Linked DNA regions of Pelodiscus sinensis. The protein of the gene in region 2 interacts with the protein of the main gene of each other region in a biochemical or structural test. Links are inferred from orthologs where the notes say so. Each region holds a gene or a part of one and is shown on either strand. Other genes may lie near its edges.

The links. The genes of interacting proteins can lie anywhere in the genome.
Region 1: the proteins of TRIM28 (region 2) and CBX3 form a complex in vitro, tested with the Homo sapiens proteins (2 studies listed by BioGRID). The link is inferred for Pelodiscus sinensis from reciprocal best matches to the Homo sapiens genes TRIM28 and CBX3.

The regions. Positions count from the first base shown.
Region 1 is NC_134712.1:197,287,681-197,291,424, forward strand, and holds the start of CBX3 (chromobox protein homolog 3), read right to left. Parts: upstream 2,642-3,744; coding exon 2,561-2,641; intron 2,502-2,560; exon of another isoform or gene 2,331-2,501; intron 968-2,330; exon of another isoform or gene 942-967; coding exon of another isoform or gene 918-941; intron 1-917.
Region 2 is NW_027465849.1:2,733,040-2,736,783, forward strand, and holds the start of TRIM28 (transcription intermediary factor 1-beta), read right to left. Parts: upstream 2,521-3,744; 5' UTR 2,208-2,520; coding exon 1,991-2,207; intron 1-1,990. UniProt on the Homo sapiens protein: Nuclear corepressor for KRAB domain-containing zinc finger proteins (KRAB-ZFPs).

The DNA of each region.
Region 1 (3,744 bases), on a different chromosome or scaffold from region 2:
TATTGCAGCCCTTGGCATGTTCTGTGAGTATCATTGTGGCTCCCAGGGTCTTCTAAAGTTGAGTAGCCCTGGGTTATATAGTTGCAGTCCAGTGAAAAATAACTAGGCAATTAACGGACAGGAGACAGGATACTAGTATTTGTGTGGATGTGGGATAAACTAGCTATACTAGTCAGTAAGTACTATTTGCCTATTATTTTTCTACTAGGTAAATAGAGCACAGACTTCCACACTGTTGTCCTTTACAAACATGTACTGCCACAGCTAAATGAATACTAAGCCAACTACTGTGGCATTTATGTGTCTTCAACTTCAGAGTTTTTTGGGCTCAATTTAACATCAAGAATTTTCATAGGAACTTGATACATGTCAAAGTCCTGTTACAATGGTCCAGATAGGGGAAACAATCTCTGCTCCTATGAAATCCAATTGAATCGTTATTTACTAACAGCTCTAACCACAATCCACACTATGCCCCATCATATTAGTATTAGGTAATTGCACTCGTAGTTGTAGCTGAGGAGCTAGGGAGAAGTTAAAACGAATATGCTTCCCCCCCCCCTTTTAAATATACAATGAATTACATGGGGTGCTGAAAGGAGGCTAAAAAATCACAAGTGTTTTCTGTAAAAGGTTATTAAACGTAATTTTCACTGAAAGTCAGAGAGCTGAACTGGAGCACAGGCCTCCATTAAAAAGAGAAGGGATTTTGTTTTGTTTGTAAGTCTTTCACTGGAAAACAGCAGTTTTATTTAAGCCAAAGTTAATGTCCTTTCTATTAGCCTTAGTTTCTGGATCTGAGATTTTAGTCAGAATAATGCTGGGGAGGAGAGATGTGGATGTATCTTCTACATGGAGATGCCAAGTTATAATTTTGAAGAAAAATCCTTATATATTTTAGGTGCTCATGAACTTACCAATGTAGTTTTATTGGAGGCCATTTTTATTGCAGACTTGCAGAGCTTTACTAGAAAAATGCATGACAATTAAAAGGAAATTTAAGTTACTCAGAAAAAGGCATCCCCATACAAGCATGGTCCTTGTTCCAACCCCCATGTGTTCACTGCACATAACATGTCAAGTGTGGATTAAATCCAGAAAAGATTACTGCTTTGTCCAGCAGAATGCACAAACACACCATAATGCTAGTCATGATCCTAGCTATTGATTGTGTATGATAGGTTGCAAGAAAGTCCTACCAGCATAAGGCAGAGATGTTTCAGAGAGAGGTGGGGAGAACCATTTCCTTAAACCCAAGAAGGAAAAGTGTTCAGTTTCAAGCAATTAACTAAGATATTTAACAGCATTTTCAAGATGCAAAAGTGAAATTTTAGTTAGCAACAAAGTATCTGTAGCATAATTCACTAGTGAGTTACCAGTAATCCTGACACAGCAGGAAATATAAACTGCAGAATATTAAAACTATAATGTTGCAAATGTATGGATCAGAAGGCAAGAGTTAAGGCTAATACAGATACAAACTGCAAAACTGTGTACACTGTATGCGAAGACTAAAATGCTTAATTAAGAAATATACATTGAATTAACCTATATAAATTACATAAAAACCACATGGTCTGAAGAAAACTCATCCTCTTTCCCATGCAGTTGCTTACACTAACCACCTCTTTGGGCATACATTTAGTCACCCATCCCTGCAAATCACAAAATGATCAAGGCAAAAAAAAGCCTATATGGAAGTCAGAGGAGGGCTTTGACTCAGCGATCCTGCCCAATTCTCACCCCCTTGCAGCCCGAGAGGTGGTACTGTAGCCAAGAAGTCCAGCGAAGGACAGGCAGAGGCTTGGGCCCTGCTGCTGGGCACTTCATCTAGGATTCATTGCGATTGGAGGGGGGAGGGGGAGAAGAGGAGGGAAACAAAGGCCCATAGCACAGGAATGAAGGGTATGGCTGCGCCACAGGCCTGTGATGGGCGCATACGAGGCCCGGGTGACCTAACGGGACTAGCTGAGCAAGGAGTAGGGCCAACCTGCACGCCAACGCAGAGGAGGAAACCCTGCGCCCCTGCCTCTAGTCGGCGGAGGGAACAGCCGGCGAGTCATGCGTGTTGCCTAAACCTACACTCCACCATTTCACACACCCGCTCTCAAAAAAGGACGAGGGCCCCTTCCCGGCGCCACGTTGCCCCCTCACCGAACACGACCATTGCGCTCCAAGAATAAGCTGGGCGGACAGTGGAAAAACCGCCCTCGGGGCTGGCGGCGTCGCTTTGTCCCCTGAACGCACCCCCCTCCGCCTCTCCCCAGGCTGCACCCAGCGTCTAAGCGCTGCGCTCCCCTCCCTGTTAGGGCCCAGAGCCTTCCTCCTACCTATGGGGGCAAAGCACCCACTAGAGATCCCGGAGCTCAGCTCCCTCTTCCCCCGCACCGCCGCTACCCGCCTTCAGTAGCCACCCTTCAGGTAAAGGCGGGCAGCGAGGGGAGGGGGAGGGGAGCTCCGCAATTACACCCAACACGAGCCCAGCTGCAAGGAATTTTGGGCGCTACCCAATTCCTGGCGAGATTAAATGGGAAACGAGAAGAGAGAGAAGGATACAGACTTCAATGGTGCCTGGCGGTGGCGGCGACTCGGGTTTCCCGTCTCCTCCTTGCTCCCTGCGCGCACTGAGCAGCAGCGACATCTGAGGGGGTGGGGGCAGAGGCTGGGGCGGCTGCTGCGGGGTGGGAGCGCTGAGCTGCGCGGTGGCTGGCGGCGGGGCACCGCGCACAACGCCGCCTACACGTTAGCTGCAGCCTCCTGCCGCCGCCACTGCTGCTGCCGTGTCGCTACCAGTGCAGGCGCGAGCGAGAGGGGGGCCAGCCAAGGCTTCTCTCCCAGAGAGCGGCTTGAAACACGGGGACGCGAGCTCGTCGAGCGCCTGGGCGAAGCAAGATGCCTCGCGGAGACCGAGAGAGCGACTGGGTGAGTGCCGGGGCCCAGCGGAGCGCGCCATAGCCGCCGGGCCAACGGCCAGCCCTGCCTGGGCGCGGCCCCGGGACGGGCCTAGAGGCCGAGCTGGCCGCGGAGAGCTCCCGCATCGGCTGAGGGGCTGGTGGGCTACGAAGGGGAACTTCGGGGGAGCGAGCGGAGGCCGGGGGGGGGGGAGCATTAGAGGGGCTTGGGGGCCGGGGCCCAGCGACCATGCGGCCACTTCCTCGAAGACGGGTGGTGGGAGACCGCGGCCATTTCCCCACTGAGCTCGGCGGGGGGAGGGGAGCTGCCGAAGCGCCATTTCCCCGGCGAACTGGGGCCGCCACTCACCCTGGGCTGCGGGGCCGCTGTGCGCGAAGCTGGCTACGGCGGGGTCCGCCTCGCTCGCGGGCCTGGCAGGCGGCGTCTCGCTGCTGGCGCCAAATCGGGCCACTTCCTCCCAGGCGTCCGGAGGCAAAGGGGCCGCCCCGCCAACAAAGGGGGTCTCAGGGCCGCGCACTCCTCGCGCTCCGGGTTTGGCCCCGTGGCCCTTGCCCACGCTCTGCCAGCACCACAGGTGGAGAAAGGGGGCCCCTTTGGCTAATTATAGTCCTTTTGCTGCTGTTGGGATCGGTCTCCGGGCGGCTCCGGCAATTTCCGGAAAAACCCGAAGCGGGAGCTTCGGCTCTATTCGGACGCGAGAGGCTTTCCCGCTTCTTTGTCGGAAACTACCGAAGAGACCTTCGTAGTCGAGGAAGCCTGTTTCGGCTCTTTCCGGAAACTGCCGAAGTGGATCGCGCTAGTTCGGGCTTTTCCGGGTCTTGCCGAAGTGGA
Region 2 (3,744 bases):
TGTTCTTTAAAATAATCATCACCATCTCCATGTTATCCTCATACAAAACAAGTGCCTAAATCAGATCTGAATCACCTCTCCCACTTTTACAGGTAGTCCCTTAGAGGAACAGAACTGGATTGGCAGTTCATCAGTTTAATCCCACTGAGGCCAGGTCCACACTAGAAACCTTTACTGGAATAGTAATGTTGGCTGAGGGTATGATTTCTGTACTGGGAAATCATATGATGCAACTATAGTTAACTGGTATGAGGTGCATCTGTATTTAGGAGAGTTTGCCAATAGAGTAGAACCTCTAAGAATTATATATAACTGTTACAAATTGACTGGTCAACCACACCCCTCTCCTGGAACAGAAGTATGCAATCAGGCAGCAGCAGACAAACCAAAATAAACTACTGTATGTGTTAAATGTGAACTAAAAAAGTAACATTTTAAAAGTTATGACAAGGTATGGAAACTGTTCATCCTTGCTTCATTTAAACGGACATGGCTAAAAAGCAGCATCTCTTCTGCATACCTAAGTTTCAAAGTTATATTTACTTAATGTTCACCTGTAAACTTTTGAAAGAACCATCAAAATGCTCAGAACATCTCCATTCCCTCATAATGGAAGTCCTACTGTGAAACAAGACCAGTCAACTCTTCCCAGTGTAGATTAGGCCTGAAAACCTACAGCATTTGAGCATCTAAATCATTTGAGCATTTTGGAAAGGTCTCCCTCCTTCATGGAAACCCTGCTCCCTACCAAGAGCAGACAAGTGTGAAACCCTCTGGAGTGCTACTCTTTTCACCCAGCACTTACCTGAGGCTTCCTGTGCCAAAAAGTATTCACTAACATATAGGAATTTCCTCCAAGTCCTTGCCCCATTATCTAGTCAGAATCCTGTAAGCACTGGGTTAGTAGTGTAACAGACAGGTATGGATGCATGGGTTGAGGAGAATAGTGCTAGGGAAGCTAGTGCAAGTAGCACATGGGGTGGGGTAGGAGTGGCAGACTAAGAACCAATCTGGGGACACAGTGATCTGGTAGACAGGACCACTAATTCAGGGCACTAAGGGGGACAGAGCAAGTCAGGGAAGGAAGTTTGGGAGCACTCCTCTGATGCACTTAGGGAGGAGTGTGCTGCTATAGGAGACTGAGGAGGCATGAATGGGACCCTGGAGATAGTGAAGGACTTGCTAGGGGGTGAGGCAGACATTCAGGGAGGTCTGTTGAAGCAGTGGTTTGGGGGAAGACATTGTCCTAGGGAAGTGCCTAGGTACGGTTATGGCAGGCAGGGCCCCCCTGGAAGGACCTCCTCCCCCACCCATCTCACTCCAGGGGAAGAAGTGTCACGCCCACTACACAGCTCTCCTGCCCTCAACCCACACCCTCCATTCCTAATCCCACCTACTACAGAAGGGACACCGCCTTGTGGAGGCCTTACACCTAATGCACACCCCCTCCCTCCCTTGCAGGAGGGAGATGGTCACCCCTGCCCTTCCCCCCCGTCCCCTTCCCCCTCCCCCCCCACAATGCACACGGCCCCCCCCGTGTGCTTCCTCCCTCCCCCCCATGCCCTTCCCCCCTCCCCCCCACAATGCACACGGCCCCCCCATGCCCTTCCCCCCTCCCCCCTCAATGCACACGGGCCCCCCCCATGCCCTTCCCCCCTCCCCCCTCAATGCACACGGCCCCCCCCGTGCCCTTCCCCCCATAATGCACACGGCCCCCCCGTGCCCTTCCCCCCTCCCCCCCACAATGCACACGGCCCCCCCGTGCCCTTCCCCCCTCCCCCCACAATGCACACGCCCCCCCCGTGCCACACGCCCCCCCGTGCCCTTCCCCCCTCCCCCCCACAATGCACACGCTCCCCCGTGCCCTTCCCCCCTCCCCCCCATAATGCACACGGCCCCCCCAGTGCCCTTCCCCCCTCCCCCCCCACAGCCCTTCTCTGCCCCCACAATGCGCAAGACCCCCCCCCCACTTGACCTCCCGCGCGCTCACCTTGTCCCTCTTTATTGTTGGCGGCCTCCCCGTCGGCGGGCGGCTCGGCCCGCAGGCACTCCCGGCAGACCGAGTGGAGGCAGGGCAGCAGGCGGGGCTCCCGCTCGGCCCGCAGCCGCTCGCGGCACACGCCGCACTTCTCCAGCAGCTCCATCGCCTCCGGCCGCTTCTCCCCGCCGGGGCCGCCCGCCTCGGCCGAGGCCGCCGAGCCCGACATGGCGGCCGCCCCCCTTCCTCCTCCTTTCCCGCGTCTGCCGGCGAAGCGGGGGGGGGGAGGGTCGCCGCGAGGCTAGCGCAACGGTCGCCGGAGGGGGGAGGGGCGCCCGCACGCGCTCGCGCCGCCAAGTCGGAGGGACGTTCGCCGCGAGGGCCGCGCGCGCGCCGCTAACGGCGATGGAACGTTCACGGCCCCGCTGCACAAAGCCTAGGAGACAAGGGGAGCTGCGCGCGCACACGCACGCCGCGCGAGACAGAGAGAGAGAGGGGAGGGAGGCGGGGAGAGAAAAGCAGAAAACCCGCCTGCCTGCTTTGGCGTCGCTCCTCCTACAGGGAGAGAGCGACGGCCAATCGGAGCTGAAATAGCCCACGAGGGCGGGCTTAGCAAGGGGAAAGTCGGGCCGGCCGGCCAATCCGGGGAGAGCGTCTCCCTACGTTCGGCGTAGGGCTGGAGAAAGAACGATCGATTGAAGTTGATGCCAATCGCGGGGCTTAGGCAGGGAGGTGGTGGGGGAGGAGGGAGGAGTGAGGAATGACAAGACAGAGAGCCAATCCGCTCCCCCGGTTGCCGGGAGGCCGCAGAATACGTAGAGACTGACAGGAGGTGAGGGCGAATCCGCTTTAGGCGAGGCAGGCCTGCCTGAGTAGAGCGTGGAAGGCGCCTCAGAACGGTCGGTTAATAAGGCTCCGCCTCCCGCATGCCGAAGGCAACAGCCAGTGATTGACGTGTCTCGAGGCCAATCAGCCATCGAATCTTCCCCCGGGGGTGGGAATTTTTTTGATTAGCATGGAGCGGACCCGGCAGGTTTCCTACCTTCCAGGAGGAGGCGGGATGTAGGTTGTGACGGACAGGAAAGAGAACCAATCAGATCATGAATTACCTCAGGACCGACTCAATGACTGACAGGAGTTGAAGCCAATTACTTCATCCTAAATTCCCGCTGCCCAGCTCCTGCCTGCCCACAGAGGGCATAGGAATGGGGGGGGAGGGAATCCATTCCCCCCCCCCCCAAAAAAAAATCCCTGAGGTTTATCACTTCCCTCAAAGTGGGGTGGGGGCAAATTATGAGTGAATCTGGAGTGACCCAAAGGACACTGTTTAGCTATGTGGAGTCACTCTGGATTCACTCTGGATTGACCCAGAGCAGGTTCCACCCCACGCTTCATTGGAATAACTTTAGAGTCACTCTGCACTGACCCAGTGAAGGGCCTGCTCTCTGAGCTCAGGAGTCACTCTGGAGTCACTCCAGTTTGACCCAATACAGGGTCCCGCGCCACTGAGCTCAGTGGAATTGCTCCAGATTCACTCTGTGTCCTAATATAGGGCCCCAACCGGGTGAGCTCAGTGGAATCGCTCCAGATTCACTCTGTGTCCTAATATAGGGCCCCAACCGGGTGAGCTCAGTGGAATCGCTCCAGTTTCGCTCCAGTCTGACCCAACCCAGGGTCCCTAGTCCACTGAGCTTTGGGGAATCACTTCAGATCGACTCTGGTCTGACCCAATACCCGGTCCCACCCCACTGAGCTCAATGAAATCA